Mus musculus: one gene and its partners. The protein of the gene in region 5 purifies or fractionates together with the protein of the main gene of each other region. This does not show direct contact. Links are inferred from orthologs where the notes say so. Each region holds a gene or a part of one and is shown on either strand. Other genes may lie near its edges.

Region 1 (4,491 bases), on a different chromosome or scaffold from region 5:
TTCCCGCTGCTGCGTTCTGAGCCGGCCGTAGCCCACGCTTCCTTTACTATCTCGATAGATGCTTATTTAGCTGTGCGATCTTGCCGGAGTAAAGCAGGAATTGTAGAATACATCAAGTATAAAATGTCAGCCGCCATGACATGGGGCAAAATAGAACCTCCAAGCAGCACGGCTGGCTCCAAGGTTGCCATGAAGGGTTTAGAATAATCTTCTCTGCAGAGAACACCTTATTCCTTCCTGTTTCCCAACTGCATCTTCCTTCTATTTTAAAGAAAAGATAAAAATCTAACTGGAGGTCCAACCACGACTTCCAAGTTGTAACCAGCTTCAAGTTTTTCCAGTCCTTCAGCTGTGAGCTCTAAGGAGCAAAAGCATACTTGGGATACTCAGCACCCCCGCTCTGTATCCAATGAAGCCACCAACTTCACCAAGCGCTGTCACGTACAACACTATGATCCCTTACTTGCTGGTCTGTCTGTCTGTCCAGAACACACAGTGTGCAATCCCTCTGGTTAACTCCCTAACAGCTTAAAGAGGCAGGTAAGGAACAACTCACTTGGTCCGGAGACAGAAACCTACCAACACAGACAGACCATCAAGAAAAACAACCCTAAAATTAGAACGGAATTCGAAGCAAGTATGAAAGTGAAGCTAGGTAGACTGAAGCGACCCAATTCTACCCCGAAGCAGGCTGAACGGCCGACCTGCTCCTTCACAGGCCAATAGCTGCGCATGTGGGTCAGAAGCAACTGGGTTCTCCATGAACACGCAACATTCTCAGCCGCGAGCAAGCGAGAAACTGAACAGAACTGGGCAGGGTCAGAACATTATGAAATCACTCCACACATAGCACTGGAGCACTAAGATGTGGACTAACAATATGTAAAGAACACAGAAAGAACGCTGGACAGAAAACAAACAATGACCTGAGGTGACCCAAGAAGGGGAAGTGTTTTTCCCTTCTCAAAGTAATTGATACAGACAAGAATCAAACTACACAGAAATGACTAGCCCCAACACCACTTACAAGTCAAACACAAGAACCACACAGCACTGGGAACATCCAAAAATCATTTGTCCATTTTTCACAAGTCCAAGGATGGGGGGTGGGGGCGGGGGAGATGATGAAATGTTATTCTCAGATAGGTAACAACACCTCTGCTTGCCCATCGATGGTAACGCACACCTTTAATCCCAGCATTCAGGAGGCAGAGGCAGGCGGATCTCTTGAGTTCAAGGGCAGCTTGGTCTACAGAGCAAGTTCTAGGGCAGCCAGGGCTACACAGAGAAACCCAGTGGGGATCCAAAGGAGTATCACCTTCCTTTACTCCATAGGAGCTGTGAATTCGACGTTTTATTCTGACTTAAATACCAGGTACCAAGATTTTTCAATCAAAGCTGCCCCAACTTCTATACCATGAAATTAAGACACATTCAAAACTAAGACCCTTCCTTGGGAGCCCTGGTACCCTCCAGACACCACCCTACGGAGCAGCAAACTTACTAAAGCCCTTTAAAAAAGATATACAGCGTTAACACCAGTCTTAGAAGAAGTGAGACTTCTGGGGGTACTGGGTAATGTGAGTTAACTTCCTCTTCCTTTAGAAAGGTCAAAGACAGGGAAGCGCCCAGTGTAACATTTCCTCCTTAGCCGGCTCCACCACAAGCCACAACACAACTCTAATTGCTTAAAAAAATAAAATACGATAAAATAAAATAAAACAAAACACTAGCGGGGGGGGGTGCTTTTTGTACACTTGCAGTAAAGACTGAAGACCCAACTTACCTCAGGAATGAGCTGATTCGTTTCCAACAGAAAATTTAGCAATAAACTTTGCTATGAATCCTAAATAATAATTAGAGAGGCTACCGAGCCCCGCAGAAGGCAGGGCCTCCCAACAGTCAGAAAAGCCTTGCCCGCAGGGCTGGTCCTAGGCACCAGCAAATTCTGCCCAAGAAAGGGGAGGGAGCAGCCAAGGGCAGGGTTCCCCCCAGATCCACAAGAGCTGCAGAGGCACGGCCCGGTGGAGCTAGTAGTGTTCACGGTACCGCAGAGGGTCCCGGGGTCCCCAGCAATGCTGTCACCGGTGCACCCCAAAAGCTCGGGTCAAGCCGGGAGCAGAGCGGCTGCCCGTCCCTTTTCTGGCCGGGCTATGACGGCAGGCAAGGAGGTTCCCACCGAGGGTCGCTCTGGACCGCCGGAAGGTGAAAAGGATACTGTTGGGGCGCCGGGGTCTGGAGGGCCCTGATGTTCGGGTGAGGAGGGGCCGCCGCTGCCGCTACTGCCGCCGCCGCCGCCGCTGCCGCCGGATGAGGAGGCGGTACCGCCGCCGCCGCCGCCGCTCCGGTGCCGGGTCCGGTTCCTGCTGCAGCCGCTGAGCCTGATTTCAGAGCCGGTTTCTGCGGTAAACTCATGGCAAAGCGAAGCCACCAACCCCCCCAGAGCGGGACCGGGCGCGCCGGGGTGCAGGGGCCGGGGGCAGCGGAGGGGCGGGATGGGGGCAGACCCGGGGAGGCGGCGGGAGCGGGGGGCCGGGGGGAGGCTGGGAGGAGGAGGAGGAGGGGGCCGGGACCGGTCACACACGCCCTCCGCCGCCGCCGCCTCCGCCGCCGCCGCCGCGGGCAGCAGCAGCCGCCCCGCGGGCCAGCACCACCGGCTGCCGGTCTCCGTGACAACGCGACCCCGGGGAGGGGGGGGCCGGACCCGGCAGGGGCAGGAGGCGGAGAGACCGGACCTTTCACGGCAATATCCTCATGGGCCGGCGGCGGGGGGTCTCTGTCCCCCTCCCCGGGGGAAGCGGCGCCCTTCTCGGTAGCGGGGCTCGGGCGATGCGGACGGATTTTCTTCACTCAACGAGCAGAGCATCCAACATGGCGCTGCGGCCGCCTCCAGCAGTCCGGCAGGACGGCCGCTCGGAGCTTTTCGGCCCTTTTCGGAAGGACTCGGCAGACCGAGGGTGGCAAGCTCTCTCGGCTATTTCCGGAGACCGCGAGCGGCCGGGCTTCTTCGGGAGCGCTCGGGAGCGCCTTCGGCCGCTGTTCGGGAACGCCGCAGGAGCTGACACTCTTTCTCGGGAAAGATCGGTGATCCGGGACGGCTGAGGATCTCCGCGGCGCGGTGCGGAGCTGAGGGAGAGACCGAAGGGCACGTCTGTAGGGAGAGAGCTCAGCCTCGAAGAACAATAGTAACGGCACCCGAGGCCGCGGTCCGTCGAGACCTGCCAAGCAAGCGTCGAGAGGCGGCGGAGCGGAAAAACCGAGGCGCTGCGGAGGGAACCGCTAAGCCAGAGCACAAACCGACAGTTAGGAACCCGCCCGCCTCAAGGACTTATTAACATAACAGATGCCACTCGCCGGCCCTTGACGTCGCCAGCCATGGGCATTATGTCGACACGTCGTCCTCAGATGCCCAAAGTGCGAAATGGAACGAGGAGCCCCATTTTGCAGAGGAGGCCCCGGAGAAGAAAAGTGACTGCCCCAAGGTCGCCTGGCTGGGAAGGGATGGAGCGGATTCAGAAACGGGATCCCACCTTCTCTAGGATGAACCTTACCCTTCTAGGATGCAAAATGGCCTGCCTTGCCAGAAACTGACCCTAAGCTCTGTAGAGTGGATATCTTCCCACAGTCTTCCCCAAGACTGGAGGGGCCTTTGACTACAACCTGTAGTCGGCTGCCCATCTTCTTTTGCTTGGCTAACTCCTGTGGATAAGGTCTCCTCCCCCCACATCCATTCACACTTTGCACACCACACCTGCGCCCCTCAATAGAGGCATTGTCCCCAGGACACAGTAACATTGACAGAAAAGGAGTCGCAGACACCTCCGAACTGTGCAGATATGGAGTACTGCATTAGCTCATATAATCCCAAGAAATAGGTAAATACCTATTCTTACAAATGAAGACTCTGGGGTCCAAAGAAGTTTAGCTATCATCTACACTATTAAAAAAAAATTTTTTTTGAGGCAGCTCAAAGCTGACAGGAGACTTTGCCAAGGTCACATGACCAACGTGGACAGAGGTAAAATTAGTGTCCTGTGTCCTGTGTGCTTGAGTTGCAAACGTTAGGACCCAAGTGCAGACTCCAGAATTCACTCAGGAAAAGTCTGGTGTGCGAGAGGTGTATACAGTCCCAGCATTGAGGTGAAGACCAACAGTTCCCTGAGGCTCACTGGTCACAGCCCACTCCATCTGATGAGTTCCAGGCCAGTGAGAGACCCTGTCTCCAGAATAAAAGGTGACAGCACCAGAAGAAGACACCTGAGGTTGTCCCCTGGTCGCCATACACATGAACATACAAACAAGATTAGTGTCCTGACTCCTGCTACATTGGTGGGTTTCAGAGTTGGGGTGGTCGTTGGTTTCTCTGGGTTTGTTGGCTTGCTTGCTTCTTTTTGAGAGAGTCTTAAGTAGCTCAGGCTAGCCTCATCTCTCCACGTGCCTGAGGATAACCTTGAACTCCTGCTTGTCTTGCCTCTACCCTCCAAGTACTAG
Region 2 (4,466 bases), on a different chromosome or scaffold from region 5:
CACCCGACTGCTCTTCCGAAGGTCCGAAGTTCAAATCCCAGCAACCACATGGTGGCTCACAACCATCTGTAATGAGGTCTGATGCCCTCTTCTGGTGCATCTGAAGACAGCTACAGTGTACTTACATATAATAAATAAATAAATAAATGAATAAATCTTAAAAAAAAAAACTATTAAAAAAAAAAAAAAAAAAAAACAGGGCATCTGTATCATACCCTATCCTTCCCAGGTTCCAGAGATTAGTGTGAAAGAAGAGATAAAATAATTTAAGAGCCAAAGGTAGTCTACAGCAAAACAGTGTTCTTCTTAACACAGCAGGGTGCTTGGGCATATGAATTCACAGCCACTCTGATTGCATGCATAAGATCTGAATAAGATAAAGCCAGACAAAATCCTAGCATAGGACAGACAGGGAGGTGGTCAGGAAGTCACTTCCCTAGCAGAAAAACTACTGACAATTGATGGTTAATGGGAGAAAGTTAGTTTTCATCAGGGGTGTGGCTTTTGAGAGGCTACCCACAATCCAGCAGATAGCCCTACACCCAAGTACACATTGGTCACATTAAATGGTCTAAGTGTTTTTTTAAAAAAAGAGAACACATTTAAAGTAGGAGGAAATACTGGTAGAAAGGACAGGAAAGAAATTAGAGGGGAAGAAATGTGGAGTGGGTTTAATGAAACACAGTACATGCAATTTTCAAACAAACAATATATATATATATATTTGAAATATATATATTTGAAATATATTTGAAATATATATATATTTCAAAGCCCAGGTAGAATTTCAGATGGGCTAGCTGGAGAGATGGCTCAGTGGTTAAGAACACTGACTGGTCTTTCAGAGTTCCTGAGTTCAATTCCCAGCAACCACATGGTGGCTCACAACCATCTGTAATGGGATCTGATGCCCTCTTCTTGTGTCTGAAGACAGATAGTGTACTCACATACATTAAATAAATAAATCTTTTTTAAAATCACATTATTTTTTAAAAAAAGTTCCAGATGGGCATGCGTGTTTACAGTGGTATGAATGACAATGGACTCCAAAGGTTCCTATGCTTGAATGCTTGGCCCCCAGTTAGTTCAACTGTTTGGGAAAGACTGGGAGGTATGGCTGTGTGTTGCTGTGACCTTGATAGATGAGGTGTGTCACTGGAGGTGAGCTTTGAAGTTTCAAATGCTCAAACCAGGCCTGGTCAGTCTCAGTCTCTGTTTGTCTCTCTTTCGGATCAGGTGTGAGCTCTCAGCTACTGCTCAGTACCATGACCCAAGTACGTAGCTTCCCTAAGGACCCTGAGCAAACCTCTGAATTTTCTCAAAGCTTCAATATTTTCATTTGTAAAAAGTGAGATTAAGGGCTGGAGAGATGGCTCAGCTGGTAAGAGCACTGACTGCTCTTCTGAATTCAAATCCCAGCAACCACATGGTGGCTCACAACCACCCTTAATGAGATCTGACACCCTCTTCTCGTGCATCTGAAGTCAGGTGCAGTGTACTTATGTATAATAATAAATAAAATCTTTGGGCTGGAGCAGTCAGGGACTGAGTGAGCGAAGTTGAACAGAGCGAGCAGAGCCGACTAGAGCAAGCAGAGGTCCTAAAAATTCAATTCCCAACTGTACAGCTACAGTGTACTCATATGCGTAAAATAAATAAATAAATAAATAAATATTTTTTAAAAAAAAAGGAAGAAAGAAAGAAAGAAGTTTGGGCATACTCATTCAGTCTAGAATTTTATAATCCACAAGCATCTTGAACGTTTAAAATGTAATGAAATCATCACACAAAAATTGGCACACAGAAAAAAAAAATTGGCACACAGAAAGCCCTTCAAACAAGATTTACTAAAAAGAAAAAAAAAAACCGAAGATTAACATATCCAATTGAAAAACTGTAAAGCTGCGATGTGACTCAAGTTTTGCAAAAACTTTTTTAGAAAACACGTTTTAGAAAATAGTTCTGTCCTCAGGTACGGTGAAGCAGGTCTCCAAATCAATAAAAACAAATGAAAGTAACTCCACTGAGAAGTGAGGAACTGATGACGAAAAACACACACACACACACACACACACACACACACACACAAAACGTTTGGTAATTTGCATATGGAGGTAACCACACTAACTATGGGGGGGGGGGGGGAACTACTTCAAATGTTACCTACTTCGAGATAAAGGAAACAGGTGCTACTCAACTTCTCCTCCTTGAAAAATATCCCCTCTGACTAACACGACTCATGTTTTATGACTGTGTTAGATAACAGAGTTAAAGACGGCTTAAATCAGGGTTGGCCATTTCCCCTCGGATCCAAAATGCCTTTGCAACCTGATAGCTACGAACAAAAGGCCCCTCTATCCTGTCTCTGCAGAACAGACCCCAGTCCACTTCCACCCAGCAGCGAATGCTCAGAGCAAGACCTGCTTCTGCAAACTCAGCAAGGCCCGCGGGAACTCAAACTTTGTAAACTCCACCAAGGGTTTAGGGGACATGGGAGCCTCTAGGAAGGGATCCAAGGGAGGTGACACCAGTCAACCCTCGGAACCAGAAAAGCATCGTCGCTGGAGGGCGTGTCGGGCAGCTTGGCGACGTAGCACTTGGCGGGACAAGGCCATTCATTAGCTGGCAGGGGCGGCGGGGCTGCGCTGCCAGGCCACCCGCCCGTGCCACGCGGCGCGAAGCTCGGCAGCCGCCCCCTCCGCGAGTTCCCTCCCCGGGCCCCGCTCCCCTGCCGGGCTGGCAGGACGCCTTCGCCGTCGCCCTCACCAGTCGCTAGATGAAGGTGCGCCGGCGGTCTCCGCGGGGCAGGCGCGCGGCCGCGCAGGGACTCATCCTTAGTGAAAGCTACCGGGGACAACGAAGGGAGCCAGGAGCCGGGACGCCCGAGTCAGCTCCGGGGACGGCTGCACGGAAAGCGACAGCCGCGACTGTCGGCGCCGGGACCGGGTTCGGGGAAACCTGAGCTAGAGCGGGCGGGACTCGGGAATAAGACGGGCGCTGATTGGCCGGAGTTCGTGTATGCCCCACAGTGATTGGTCGGGGCCTGCCCACAAGGCCTAGCGTGGCAGTACCTCAGCTGTGGCCTTTCCCTAGTATCCCAAAGGAGCATGACCCCTGCCGGCCTTGGTGCGGTCGACACTGGCTGCCGCCCTACACTCAGAACCAGTACTGCCCCTCTTGGTGCCAGATGTCACCCTAGGAGATCTGTCTCCCCGCAGGTCGACACTCGGAAAGGAGGTTAAGGCTGGGATGGAGGAAACAAGGAACTGGCTGGATGCCCAAGCACCACTCCGTAGAAACGTGGGCATCTTAGAAAAGTTGCTTCCCGGATCACTCGTAGTGGGATAACTGGAAAACCAGAGGTGTCCTCTCCCCAAGACTGGGCCCTGCTGCTCTGTGCCCCGCCTGTTGTGCCCGGATTGTCTGAGTGTCACTCTCTTTTTGTCAGAAGGCGCCATAGATTTTTCAGATCGCCACTGTGCGACCAGCTGCTGACTTGGGTCACATCTGTCTGCCTGACGCCAGGCTTACAATAGGTTTTCCTCCCTGAACTCTTAAATCTACAAGCCATTTTAAAGGTTGCAAATTGTGTGCCAATAATCAGTCCAGAACGGAAAACATACTCCTGCTGAAGTCTGATACAGAGGCGCCTTAGTAAACATGTGTTCAGGGAGGAGTAGCATGACTCAGAGAAAAACAGCACTTGGAGCCCAGAGTTGTTTGAACCTCGGCCCTGTTTGTGTTGCTGTATGAGCCACTGACACCATCATCTATTAAACGGAGTTAAACTCAATACCCTCTTAGACTGCTTCAGCCCAATTGCCTGTTTTGTAGACTTTGTAGGAAAGTAAGTTGCTAGATCAAACTGAAGGAGAGATGGAAACAGACCTAGCTCCCCAGCTCTCCTCCCAGTGCAAGGACTTAATTTGCTTTCTTACTTCCTACTCTGACCCATTCTGTAATGTATAAACAGTGACTTGGAAGGAAGCTGTGTACACACTCATGAACAAAGACGCTCAGTGATCTGGAAGCTAGTGATGTAAATAAATGTGTTGCCCTGAGTTCACATCTTTTATCTGTCTCTTCTTTGTATTGGGTAAGTCATTTAGGTTTTCTGAAGCCTTAATTTCCTCATCTGCAAAGTGGGAATGGAATACATGTTGCTGTAGTGAAAATGTGTTGATAGACGCCCGCAGCACTTAGCAGAGTGCCAAGCACACAGTAACACCACCTAGAAGTTGCCATGTCTCAAACGCTTGTAAGCATTGGGGGTACAAAATGTCCATACGGCCATAATCATATACACAAAAATTAATTGCAACTTTAACGAATCTGTGAAAGAAAATAAGAGGTTTCATCTGACCCCCCCCCCCAAAAAAAATGACAAACTAGGGAAGAAGTAGAAAATAACTAGGTGAAGCAGAAAAAGAAAGACCAGCATCATGCCAAGGAATGAATGTCTTTGC
Region 3 (4,221 bases), on a different chromosome or scaffold from region 5:
AGGTCCTTTAAAAAAAAAAAAAAAGGAAAGTTTTGTTTGTTTTTTCTTAGGAATGATCTGGGACCAGAGAGGTGACTCAACTGTTTTTGTTGTTGTTTTGTCTTTTAAATTAGGCTCAACAGTTCAGAGCATTGCCTGCTCTTCTAGAGAGCCTGGGTTCTATTGCCAGCAACGACATGCGGTTCATAATTGTCTACTCTAAGTCCTGCGCGTGATACGATGCCTTCTTTCGGCCTCCGCTTGTACACGGTGCACAGACAGACTTGCTGGCAGAACACTGATACGCATAAAAAAAAATTCGAGTTAAGAGATGGTTGTAAACTACCATATGGGTACTGAGAGCGAAACTTGTGTTCTTAAGCTCTTAGTCCCCTCAACTAGTTCTTATTAAGATTTTCGAAACTTTGAACTGGAAGTATCAAAAATCTTGACTATCTTTTCAAGCAAACCACTCTTGGGGTCCCCCTGGTCACTCCACGAAGGTTCCGTCCCGTCCACCCCACGCTGGCCCACGTGATCGCGCTCTCCCGCGCGTGAAGACCGCAGTCACCGGCAGACAGAATCACAGTGACTTTCACGTCTGGGGCCAACGCTAAATTGCGAGCCGCTGCAGTGAGGATGGCCATTGAGATTAAAGCCGCTCATCACACGACTCTGCATTGTGCGGGCAGTCATTCTTGTGTGTGTTGGCGGCCCCTGGTTGTCGGCGAGCTCCTCGCGTAATTTTGGAACCCTTCGTTCTTTTGCCCCGTCAGTGGACCGGTCTAAAATGCAAGACCTTACGGGGGAGCGAAGCCAGTCATGTCAGTCAAGCAGTCTGTCTGATTAAAAGCAAAGCTTACAAAGAATCATGTGTGGAGCTTTCAGTTGTCTTGGCATTATTTTATGGTCACATATTTTGTCTTCATACAGTTACGCGTGTTAATCATTTGAGAATCCACTTGATGCTCCCCAGATAGTACAGTCCTTCCCCGTAGCGCCCGCTGGGAGAGGCAAAGGAACTTCTACCATCTTGGACGCAACTATTTCTTAGCTAGAATGGGGGAGCCACATATCCTTGTGAATTTATTTGCTACCTTAAAAAACCTTTTGGGCTATAAATAAACTTGCATATCTTGAAACTTATTATTTTAATTGTTTCTAGATTTTTATGCATATCTGAGTTTTCTCGGGCTGATCGTGAGGAATGAGGGCGTGGGTGTCTCCCCCGAGCCACATCTTGGTACGATCCCATCGCTGCACGCACATGGCTCCGCGCTAGCGGCGCGCGGTGACTTCTGGGAGTCGGAAGCAGGGCGGCCGAGCCGGGTGAGAAGCAGCGCGGGCCCATGCAGGACGCTGAGAACGTGGCGGTGCCCGAGGCGGCCGAGGAGCGGGCTGAGCCCGCGAGGCAGCAGCCGGCCTCCGAGTCGCCGCCGACGGACGAGGCGGCAGGGTCTGGGGGGTCCGAAGTGGGGCAGACGGAAGACGCCGAAGAAGACGCCGAGGCCGGACCGGAGCCCGAAGTGAGGGCCAAGCCGGCGGCCCAATCCGAAGAGGAAACGGCGACGAGTCCGGCCGCCTCGCCCACGCCGCAGTCGGCGGAGCGGTCCCCGTCGCAGGAGCCCTCTGCTCCCGGGAAGGCAGAGGCCGTTGGCGAGCAGGCCCGGGGGCACCCCTCGGCTGGAGCGGAGGAGGAGGGCGGGTCTGATGGGAGCGCGGCTGAGGCGGAGCCGCGGGCTCTGGAGAACGGAGAGGCAGATGAGCCCTCCTTCAGCGACCCCGAGGATTTCGTAGACGACGTGAGCGAGGAAGGTAAGGGCGATCGTGTCCCCGGCCAGGGCGCGAGGTCTCCCGGTTACAACGATCTTGTTTCCTCTACAGTGGGGGACCATTTGGGGAGTCCGTTTCTGCGGCAAGCCCTTGCACCTGGGGGTTGGTGGAGGGCAGGACGAACAGGACTATCTGGGGGCATTCCAGTTTCCTGGCCAAGGGTTTCCAGGGTTGACCAGTTGCTGTGTTCCCAATGGTTTCCGTAGTAAGGCATTGCCATCGGACCCAAGCACATTACCAACCTGCTTCCTTTTACTAGGTCGGTACCCTGGACCATTGCTTTTTCACATTGTTCGTTTGGCCGCTTACTTCATGATTTCTTCTATGGTGACTGGCTTTTTAAAGGCATTGTTTCTGTCTACCTGCACAGGAGCCAGATTCCTAAAATCTTTTTTGACAGTTGATAGCATGTGTTCCTCTGCCGTTTCAACTTCACTTGAGCCAGTTCCTTCATGTGTTGGTGTGGCTAATACCAAGGGCCAAAGGGCCTAAGAACACCACTTTTTTTTTTTTTTTTTTAAACGAGACAGGGCCTCTCTATGTAGTTCAGGCTGAAATTGAACTCTTGGTTCTTCTCAGTTTTCACGGTGCTGGTCCTACAGACATGTACTCCCAAACAATTGCTTTTGAACTACCATGAAAATTCAGCGCCCCAATATAGTTGTCAACTTAGAACTTACAATATTTCAAGAGGTCGTCATTTGATGTCACCATTGTTTGACTTAATCCTTTTGTATGTTTGTGGGGGTTGTTTTGTTTTGTTGTGAAACAGGGTCTGGCATGGTCCAGGCTGGCCAGCTCTTTATGAAGCTGAAGCTGTCTTTGATCCCCATCCTTCTGCCTCCACTTTCAGATTGCCAGGATTTGAGATGTGAGTCACCATGCCTGGCTTATTTCTTGAAAGATGGCTAAGAGTGAGAAGCCGATAAACTAATGTGAGGAATCTATAGGCTCCAGCCTTGAGGACGTTTATCTGGGTAGAGCAGGTTTCTGGGTTCCCACTCTCGCCCGACTCCAGTGCTTGCTAATGTACCTGTTTTCCCCATGTTAGAGCCTAAGCTTTGACTTTGAAGCTCCTTTTGAATCCTTGGTTCCTTTGGCTATTTTGGGTCTGGGCTGTCCCTGTCACTTCATGGTTTCAGACAGGACCTCACCATTTGGCTGGGCCAGCAGGCCACGTAGGTCCTTGTACTTTTCTAGCACTGGGAATGCGGCTCCGTGCCCCTCCAGCTTTTTTGAGTTGGGTGCTAGCCTACAGGAGTGATCTTACCTCAAGTCCTGCTGCTCGCCCAACAAGCGTCTTTTGAGCTAAACCATTTGCCCATAGGCACTACCAGCATCTTTTCCCCTTTTCAAAGGTCTGTTTTGTTTTGTTTATTTGTTTTTAATTGAAATTTTGCACAGGATCATTTTGCCCGTGTGTCTAGTGCCCATGGAGGCCATTGGATGGCTCTCTTAGAACTGGAGTTTGAATTAGAATTGGTTGTAAGTACTGGGAAGAAAATGGGTCAGTCTACTGCAAGATGAGTATTTAAAGAATATTTGAACCCGTTTAATTCACAGATTCCAGTATGTATATTATTTCCAGAATTGGGGATTATAGGAGTCAGGGGATGCTGGCTGGTGTGACTGCAAGGCCAGCCTGCCTTCAACAAGTCTGCTAGGAGCCCAGTGGGTCCCGTCCAGTGTATGCAGGGAAAGGGAGAGTAATGAGAATCTGGCCCTTAATGGTTGGAACTCTTAAGGCCATCTGGCTTTGGGCATCAGGGTGTCACAGTGTCATCAGGGTGAGAAGAGAAACAGCCTTTTGGTTTCTACCAGGAGGAGCAGTGTGGAATCCTCACATCAGTATATGCCTCCTATTCTGTTACTGATAATGAACAAGTTGTTTTCTCTAGTGTGCTGTGCATGCCAGCAGTTCAGTACTTGGAAGGTAGAGGTTTGAGGTTAGCCCTTGCTACATAGAGGGTGCAGAGCCAGCCCGAGGTACTTGGGACCCTATATCACAAGACAGATAGAAGGGGGCTGAAGAGATGGCTCAACACTTGCTGTTCTTCCAGAGCACCTGGGTTTGATTCCCAGCTCCTGCATGATGGCTCACAAGTCTCTGTAACTCAGGAGTGATCATGTGGTACACATATACACAAAAAACATTTATACATGTCACAATAAAGTGTAAAAAACCCAAGCAAATGGAAAGAAGCAGTGTGTTGCGTTCTGAGGATATTTTGCTCTGCGCTTCTCAGGAGAAGCAGATGGTTAGTTACAGGCTAGGAGCACTTTGAGCTCCTGGGAAGGAGTCTAGTCTGTATGGAAGCTGGGCTTTTCTTTATTGTGTCTTGTTAAGTTTAGATCCAGCTTAGCAGGCTGTTTAATTGTATGGTAAGCAGGCTTTTAAAGGAACCCGGA
Region 4 (3,691 bases), on a different chromosome or scaffold from region 5:
GTGTGTGTGTCTGTGTAAGCACCCAAACCCTGCATTACATATTATGTTTTTAATTATTATTTTCTTTTACCTAGTCTATACAACCATATCCAGTTGTCTAGTAATTTAATGCCTGGCTGTGACTACTCACTTTTTAAGGTATGCCTAATCAATGATTGTTTATATTTATTACAGGACCAGACCATTCAGGTATTTGTAAAAACTGGCCACAAATTCAGGCAGTTGGCTTTACCAGGCTTGAGTACAGTGCTCTGTGGTAATATTTAGTTACTCATGGGAACATCCTGGGATTGACTCGAGCCTTGCTAATTCTGTGCAGCCCTTCCTGGATATACTTGAATAGACTGACTTCGTCAGCTAATTTTAAACCCATGAGATATTTATAAACAGACCTTTGTCAGGTGCTAGGATAGGACGTTAGTTAGCTCAAATTACATAGTTTTTAATGTAGCTTCTAAAAGGTTTCTGCTCGGGAATTTTCAGAACCTTTAGGTGACATGAAGCTTTGCAGTTGGAGAATTCACAAGGAGGTGGGACGCTTGCGCAGTTGCATGCCTCTGGCGTGTAGTTCTTGTGTATGTTTAAAAGCCGTGCCAGTGGCAGGGGTACAGGGAACGAAAGAAAAGTTGTCAGTGGTGCTTGCTGAGTCTAATACTGTGTCTCGGAGTACCAGTGCTGTCTAATGCTGCCTTCTCCTCCTGCAGGACGGGATTGAGCCTATGTGGGAAGATGAGAAAAACAAACGAGGAGGACGGTGGCTGATCACACTGAACAAGCAGCAGAGACGGAGTGACCTCGATCGCTTCTGGCTAGAGACAGTAAGGCTTTAGGATATGTTTGCCTTTCTCTACTTACAGCCCCTGTTCTAAAGAAGCCCTTGTGCTCACGTGGCATCACATTTACTAAAACCAGAACGAGTAGAAATTGGTACCACGCTTGTGCAAGGATGACATTTAAATCCCTGAAGCGTTTTGGTATTTGGACATAGCTGGAAAGTATGTTAAGGGAAATAAGCCAGACTTGGGAAGAAGATGGCACGTCTTCTCTCATGTGGAACTTAGGTTTTAAATACATGAGTGTGTTACATAATCTGTATTTGCAGGACAGTGAAGACATGTACTAGGAGTGAAGCACGGAGGAGGTCGGGGTCAGATATGGGGAGGGGTGCGTGAGAACAAGCTAGCAGAGATGCTGTGAGGAAACCCACACCTTTATACTAACCTGAAACTACCATAGAATGCAAATACCTGTACACATCTGAGGGGAGGATCTTAGTGTGTTCAGGTGTGACCTTTCCTGTTGAATAAGTCACAGCCCTTGCTTTTTGAGGACAGGGTTTTACTACCCAGCTAGGCTGCTGTTGCCGCTCAGAGTCCTGCTGCCTCCAACTTTTTAATTATAGACATGTGCTAGTTGGCGAAGACTTTTTATCCATCCTGTGCGTATCTCAAACATGTGAGTCCAGTGAATGATTTCTATCATTCCACAAGTCATAAAAAATGATTGACAAACTAGGCGCAGTGGTGCAGTATTTTTATCCCAGAACTTGGCAGGCAGAAGCAGGCAGATCTCTGTGAGATCGAGGCCAGCCCAGTCTAGAGAGTTCCAAGACACCCAGGGATACAAAGAGAAATCCTGTCTCAAAACCAAAAAACTAAGCAAATAAAGTAAAAAGTGAATGACATTAACTTTACCTCTACAATCAGGTTCCCCCCTCTTATCTCATTAGTCAAAAATAATAGGACTTTATATTGTGATTAATGTGGACTTTTTATAACCCATTTATAGTATTACTGTAATTAAAAATTCTGAAAATTTGAAATTAGTGAAGCAAGTGATGACATTGTTGGTTAATATTTAAAACTAAATAATGTGTTGTGATATACTTTAGCCCTTTGGTTTTATGAGCTATACTATGAAACTAGGCATTTTCTGTGGTCAAGTTCTAGGTTGTAATTTTGGGACTGAAGTTCATAGTTAATGCTATTTTTTTAACCACTTAGACTCAGTACTGATTTACAGTTAGCACTGACTAAGTGAATAAGTACTTACATGGATCAGTAACATTTTATTAAAGCAAAGATTTAATCATGCTTTTGGAGGAGAGTATGAGTAAATAATACCATTGTGGAATGCCCTAGGCCAGTGGGTCTCAACCTTCCTAGTGCTGCAACCCTTTAAAACAGCTCCCCAAGTTGTGGGGACCTTCAACCAGAACATTATTTTTGTTGCTACTTCATAACATAAATTTTGCTGCTGTTATGAATTGTAATTTATATGTCTGTGTTTTCTAATGGTCCTAAGCACCCCCTTTAAAAGGATCGTTTAACCCCCAAGGGGGTTGTGACCTACAGGTTGGGTGCTGCTGCTGTAGGAAAAAGGACATTTCAGTTTGATAGGTTGAAAAATAATGTGATGGATTGAGTTACAGTTGCTCAGTGTATTTAATACCACTGAACTCTACTTTGAAACTGTTAGGAAATGGCAATTAATGGGAGCATAAATATATTGCTGTCATTGTGATCGCTGTCTGCAAGGTAACTAAGCATCCGAGCATCTGAGGCTAATGAGGTCACCTTTTTTGTGCGCCTAATGTGCAGAAAGAGGTAAAACAGTTGACGGGGTTTCTCTGTGTGGCCCTGGCTGTCCTGGAACTCACTCTGGAGACCAGGCTGGCCTCCAGAGTGCCTGGATTAAAGGCGTGCGCCACCACTGCCCGGCTGAATTTTTTTTTTTTAAGCCAAGAGAAAAAACAATGCAAACGAGTAAAATATAGACATTTTAAAAATTGGTTCTTGGGACTGAAGAGATGGCTAAATAGTTAAGAGCACTAGCTGTTCTTAACCAAGGAGAGATGATGGATGTTCAATTCTCATTACCCACTTGGCTCACAACTGTGTAATTCCAGTTCTGGGCGATCTGGACACAGACAAACACGCAGGCAGAATACCAATATTCTTAAAAATAAATAGGTTGGAGTTTTTTGTTGTTGTTTGTTTTTTTATCAGTTCTTAAGCTGCTCTGTGATTCTGCAGGTAAGGGTGCTTGCTTCCAAGTCTGAGTACCTGAGTTTAATTCCCAGAACTCACACGCTGTGCGTTGTCCTCTTCTTGCATTGATTTGCCACAGCATGTGTGTCTTGTCTCCATTCACAACAAAACAGAGTCAAATCTTACTCATTTGCTTTCTTTTTTGTCTCTAGATCAGGATGACTTCAAATTTGGCAATGCTGCCTCTCCTGACCAATTTAAGATGTCAGTTCTTGACTTAGAATCCGATTTATTTAGTTTTATAACTATACATAGAAGAGTCCTGTGTTTGCTTCTAAGTTGTTGATGATATATATATATATATATATTCGATGTAATTTGTTATTTTTTGTTTTATTTTTAGCTGCTGTGCCTTATTGGAGAATCTTTCGATGACTACAGTGATGATGTGTGTGGAGCTGTTGTTAATGTTAGAGCTAAAGGTGATAAGATAGCAATATGGACTACTGAGTGTGAAAACAGAGATGCAGTCACACACATAGGGTACGTTGTGCTCTCCTCCTGCTTCCTTGACCCTTGGTTAATTAAGTGTGTAGATGTCTTTTATGTGCAGCTTTAGACACTTGGTGTTTATAAACTGTTATTTTCTTTGTAAATGTTTTCACAAACAAAAGTTTGGATCCTGTTAATGTTGAATGTGT
Region 5 (3,179 bases):
TTCATAATCCCAGCCTTTGGATTTGGAATGTGGTAGTAGGGTGGAGAGTGATTTCTAAGCCTTTGTAGAGCTGGCCTGGTGTTTTTTTACAAGGCTGCATGTAGGGGTGGGGAAATTACTGTGAACCTGTGTGGTGGGATTCAGCACTGCCATTTGTGGTTGTAGTGCTGGGATTGAGAGAGAATTACGTGGGTACCGCCCGAGTTAATGTAGATGTTCTTCTGCATTCAGATACAAAAGGTGGTTATGGCATTAGGAGACTACATGGGTGCCTCTTGTCATGCCTGCATTGGGGGCACCAATGTGCGTGCTGAGGTGCAGAAGCTGCAGATGGAAGCTCCCCATATCATCGTGGGTACCCCTGGCCGGGTGTTTGACATGCTTAACCGGAGATACCTGTGTGAGTACCATGTAACAGTTGGTGGGCATTCCCACATGTCATTTTCTTGGATGCAAGTTTTCCTTTAGTTTAGAACTGAGTTGCTCTGTGATGAACCCCATGCGTGTCATCTGAGCCTGGCTTCCCTGTTGTTACCTTAGCCCAGGTAGTGTTCTACTTACCAGGGCTTTTGCCTGGCTTATCAGGGAAGCTTTGGGCAAAGGATCAGTCCTTGTATTCTGAGAGCAGACATCTGCCCTTTGACTGCCCTCTTACCAAGAGATTTCCATGTATTTCACATTTGTCTGATCACTATGTGTTGGTGTTTTTTCTTCTGCCTTCTAGCCCCCAAATACATCAAGATGTTCGTACTGGATGAAGCAGATGAAATGTTAAGCCGAGGGTTCAAGGATCAGATCTATGACATATTCCAGAAGCTCAACAGCAACACACAGGTGGACAAATGGCGAGGTTGATAGGACACAAGGGGCTTGGTTGTGATCTGAGGAATGTACAGTGCCCTCATCATGGCTGCTGTTTTCCCCATTAGGTAGTTTTGTTGTCTGCTACAATGCCTTCTGATGTCCTTGAGGTGACCAAGAAATTTATGAGAGACCCTATTCGGATTCTTGTCAAGAAGGAAGAATTGACCCTGGAGGGTATCCGCCAATTCTACATCAATGTGGAACGAGAGGTGAGGCCCAGTGCAGGAGGCAGACCTGGTAGTAAGTTGTTGAGTGTAACCCCTGACTTCTGAATCTCCAGGAGTGGAAGCTTGACACATTGTGTGACTTGTATGAGACGCTGACCATCACCCAGGCAGTCATCTTTATCAACACCAGAAGGAAGGTGGACTGGCTCACCGAGAAGATGCATGCCCGAGATTTCACTGTTTCTGCCATGGTGAGTTTTAATGGCTATGTGTCTCTGTGTGTCTGTCTGTGTTGGGAGCCTTGTGCCAAATGCTTCTACCTCTTTGTTTTCCAGCACGGAGATATGGACCAAAAGGAACGAGATGTGATCATGAGGGAGTTCCGGTCTGGCTCTAGCAGAGTATTAATTACCACTGACCTGTTGGTGAGTAGATGCTTTCAGGGAAAGAAAGGAAGACAAGTTAAGTTAGTCCAAGGTGATTCCCTCTCCAAAGGGCTGACTGTGTGCCCTTTTCAGGAACGTAGCAACTTGGAAGAAAACCAGGCGTGCCTGAGGTCTCTGGTGGACAAGAAACTCTTGTTTCCTTTGCCCTCCTCTGGCTGCCTACATGTATGCCTACTTAATTAGGATAGATTGTATCCTCTGATGGCTATATTCTTTCCTGACCTAGGCCAGAGGCATTGATGTGCAGCAGGTCTCCTTAGTCATCAACTATGACCTTCCCACCAACAGGGAAAACTACATCCACAGGTAAGTCTAGGTCTGACAGACTAAACAACCCCTATGCTGAAACCCAAGTGTTCCATCATCCTTTTTACCCCCCTCAGAATCGGTCGAGGTGGTCGGTTTGGTCGTAAGGGTGTGGCTATTAACATGGTGACCGAAGAAGACAAGAGGACTCTTCGAGACATTGAGACTTTCTACAACACCTCCATTGAAGAGATGCCCCTCAACGTTGCTGACCTCATTTGAGGGGCTGTCCTGCGACCTGGCCCTAGCCCAGGGTTCAGTCCTGGGGTGGGGCTAAGGAAGAGCTGGAGGGGGGAGGGGAGGGAGCCAAGGGATGGACATCTTGTTTTTGTTTTGGCTTTTTTTTTTTTTGTTTCAGTTTTTTTTCTCTATGAATAAATGTCACTTTTTGAGGCAAAAAGAAGGAACCGTGAACATTTTAGACACCCTTTTCTTTGGGGTAGGCTCTGCCCCAGGCGCCGTCTCCTTCCCCCCCCAAACACTAATGCATTTCCCTAACCTAGTCACCTCGTTCCTAAAGGCTTTCCTACCCCAGCCAAATCTCCAAAAGTGAGTCAAGGGGCTAAAAAACAAGGCTGGCCTCATTTGCTGGACCAAATCTACAGGGAGAACCCCTGAGTGAGGTTGTCCAGGGAATTGTCCCCTGGTGAGGGGAGCAGGGGAGAGAAAATGGTAGCCATTTTTACATTGTTTTGTATAGTATTTATTGATTCAGGAAACAAACACAAAATTCTGAATAAAATTACTTGGAAACTGCCTGTTTGGGCTTCTTGTTTCTTTCCCTTCCCTCCTACCTGCTAGTGTGGATCACCTGCCCCCATACTAGTTGATTACTGAATTTGCCATGTTGCTTCCTGCAATACCAAATGACCCACATTACTAACATTTGGTAATTTGCCTCAGTGTTAGGCACAAGACATGAGTGAAACTTGCTGCATTAAGACTTAAACTGGCTGGGTATGGTGGCGCAAGCCTTTAATCCCAGCATTCTGCCGGAGGCAGAAGCAGGTGGATTTCTGAGTTCGAGGCTAGCCTGGTCTACAAAAGTGAGTTCCAGGACAGCCAAGGCTACACAAAATACCTGTCTTGAAAAACCAAAAAAAAAAAATTCAACTGGTTGGTTAGGCCTAGCCCAGATGATGTAGGTGTCAACTCACCTTGGGGATGTAGGGAGATGGTTGTTCTGTAGCTCTTCCTGTCCTGCAACTAAATAAATAGGCTAAGCTGACCTCTTACATCTGCCTTCGGCCTCCTGTGCTAGGATTGGAGTGCATGGGTGGGGTTGCATTTCTTACCAATGAGGAAAGGGCTTCCCATTTCTCTGCTGCATTGTAAGCTCCCAAGTAGAGCAAGTTTTGCTTAGGTAAGTTCCGTGTGAGTCAGCTGCCTCATTCTC

The links.
Region 1: the proteins of Eif4a1 (region 5) and Eif4g3 purify together in Homo sapiens (co-immunoprecipitation; 6 studies listed by BioGRID and IntAct, counting the BioPlex papers as one, with this or other methods). This does not show direct contact. The link is inferred for Mus musculus from reciprocal best matches to the Homo sapiens genes EIF4A1 and EIF4G3.
Region 2: the proteins of Eif4a1 (region 5) and Ibtk purify together in Homo sapiens (co-immunoprecipitation; 4 studies listed by BioGRID and IntAct, counting the BioPlex papers as one, with this or other methods). This does not show direct contact. The link is inferred for Mus musculus from reciprocal best matches to the Homo sapiens genes EIF4A1 and IBTK.
Region 3: the proteins of Eif4a1 (region 5) and Eif3b purify together in Homo sapiens (affinity purification with mass spectrometry; 4 studies listed by BioGRID and IntAct, counting the BioPlex papers as one, with this or other methods). This does not show direct contact. The link is inferred for Mus musculus from reciprocal best matches to the Homo sapiens genes EIF4A1 and EIF3B.
Region 4: the proteins of Eif4a1 (region 5) and Eif4e purify together in Homo sapiens (affinity purification with mass spectrometry; 8 studies listed by BioGRID and IntAct, counting the BioPlex papers as one, with this or other methods). This does not show direct contact. The link is inferred for Mus musculus from reciprocal best matches to the Homo sapiens genes EIF4A1 and EIF4E.

The regions. Positions count from the first base shown.
Region 1 is NC_000070.6:137,991,872-137,996,362, reverse strand, and holds the start of Eif4g3 (eukaryotic translation initiation factor 4 gamma 3), read right to left. Parts: upstream 2,908-4,491; 5' UTR 2,736-2,907; exon of another isoform or gene 2,416-2,735; coding exon of another isoform or gene 2,219-2,415; exon of another isoform or gene 1,787-2,218; intron 1-1,786. UniProt on the Homo sapiens protein: Component of the protein complex eIF4F, which is involved in the recognition of the mRNA cap, ATP-dependent unwinding of 5'-terminal secondary structure and recruitment of mRNA to the ribosome. Functional homolog of EIF4G1.
Region 2 is NC_000075.6:85,746,365-85,750,830, forward strand, and holds the start of Ibtk (inhibitor of Bruton tyrosine kinase), read right to left. Parts: upstream 2,971-4,466; 5' UTR 2,767-2,970; intron 1-2,766. UniProt on the Homo sapiens protein: Acts as an inhibitor of BTK tyrosine kinase activity, thereby playing a role in B-cell development. Down-regulates BTK kinase activity, leading to interference with BTK-mediated calcium mobilization and NF-kappa-B-driven transcription.
Region 3 is NC_000071.6:140,418,033-140,422,253, forward strand, and holds the start of Eif3b (eukaryotic translation initiation factor 3 subunit B), read left to right. Parts: upstream 1-1,272; 5' UTR 1,273-1,328; coding exon 1,329-1,794; intron 1,795-4,221.
Region 4 is NC_000069.6:138,550,189-138,553,879, forward strand, and holds part of Eif4e (eukaryotic translation initiation factor 4E), read left to right. Parts: intron 1-74; coding exon 75-138; intron 139-704; coding exon 705-818; intron 819-3,393; coding exon 3,394-3,533; intron 3,534-3,691. UniProt on the Homo sapiens protein: Acts in the cytoplasm to initiate and regulate protein synthesis and is required in the nucleus for export of a subset of mRNAs from the nucleus to the cytoplasm which promotes processes such as RNA capping, processing and splicing.
Region 5 is NC_000077.6:69,666,299-69,669,477, reverse strand, and holds the end of Eif4a1 (eukaryotic initiation factor 4A-I), read left to right. Parts: intron 1-231; coding exon 232-400; intron 401-482; exon of another isoform or gene 483-626; intron 627-724; coding exon 725-834; intron 835-929; coding exon 930-1,073; intron 1,074-1,144; coding exon 1,145-1,282; intron 1,283-1,366; coding exon 1,367-1,456; intron 1,457-1,501; exon of another isoform or gene 1,502-1,644; intron 1,645-1,703; coding exon 1,704-1,783; intron 1,784-1,860; coding exon 1,861-2,005; 3' UTR 2,006-2,542; downstream 2,543-3,179. UniProt on the Homo sapiens protein: ATP-dependent RNA helicase which is a subunit of the eIF4F complex involved in cap recognition and is required for mRNA binding to ribosome.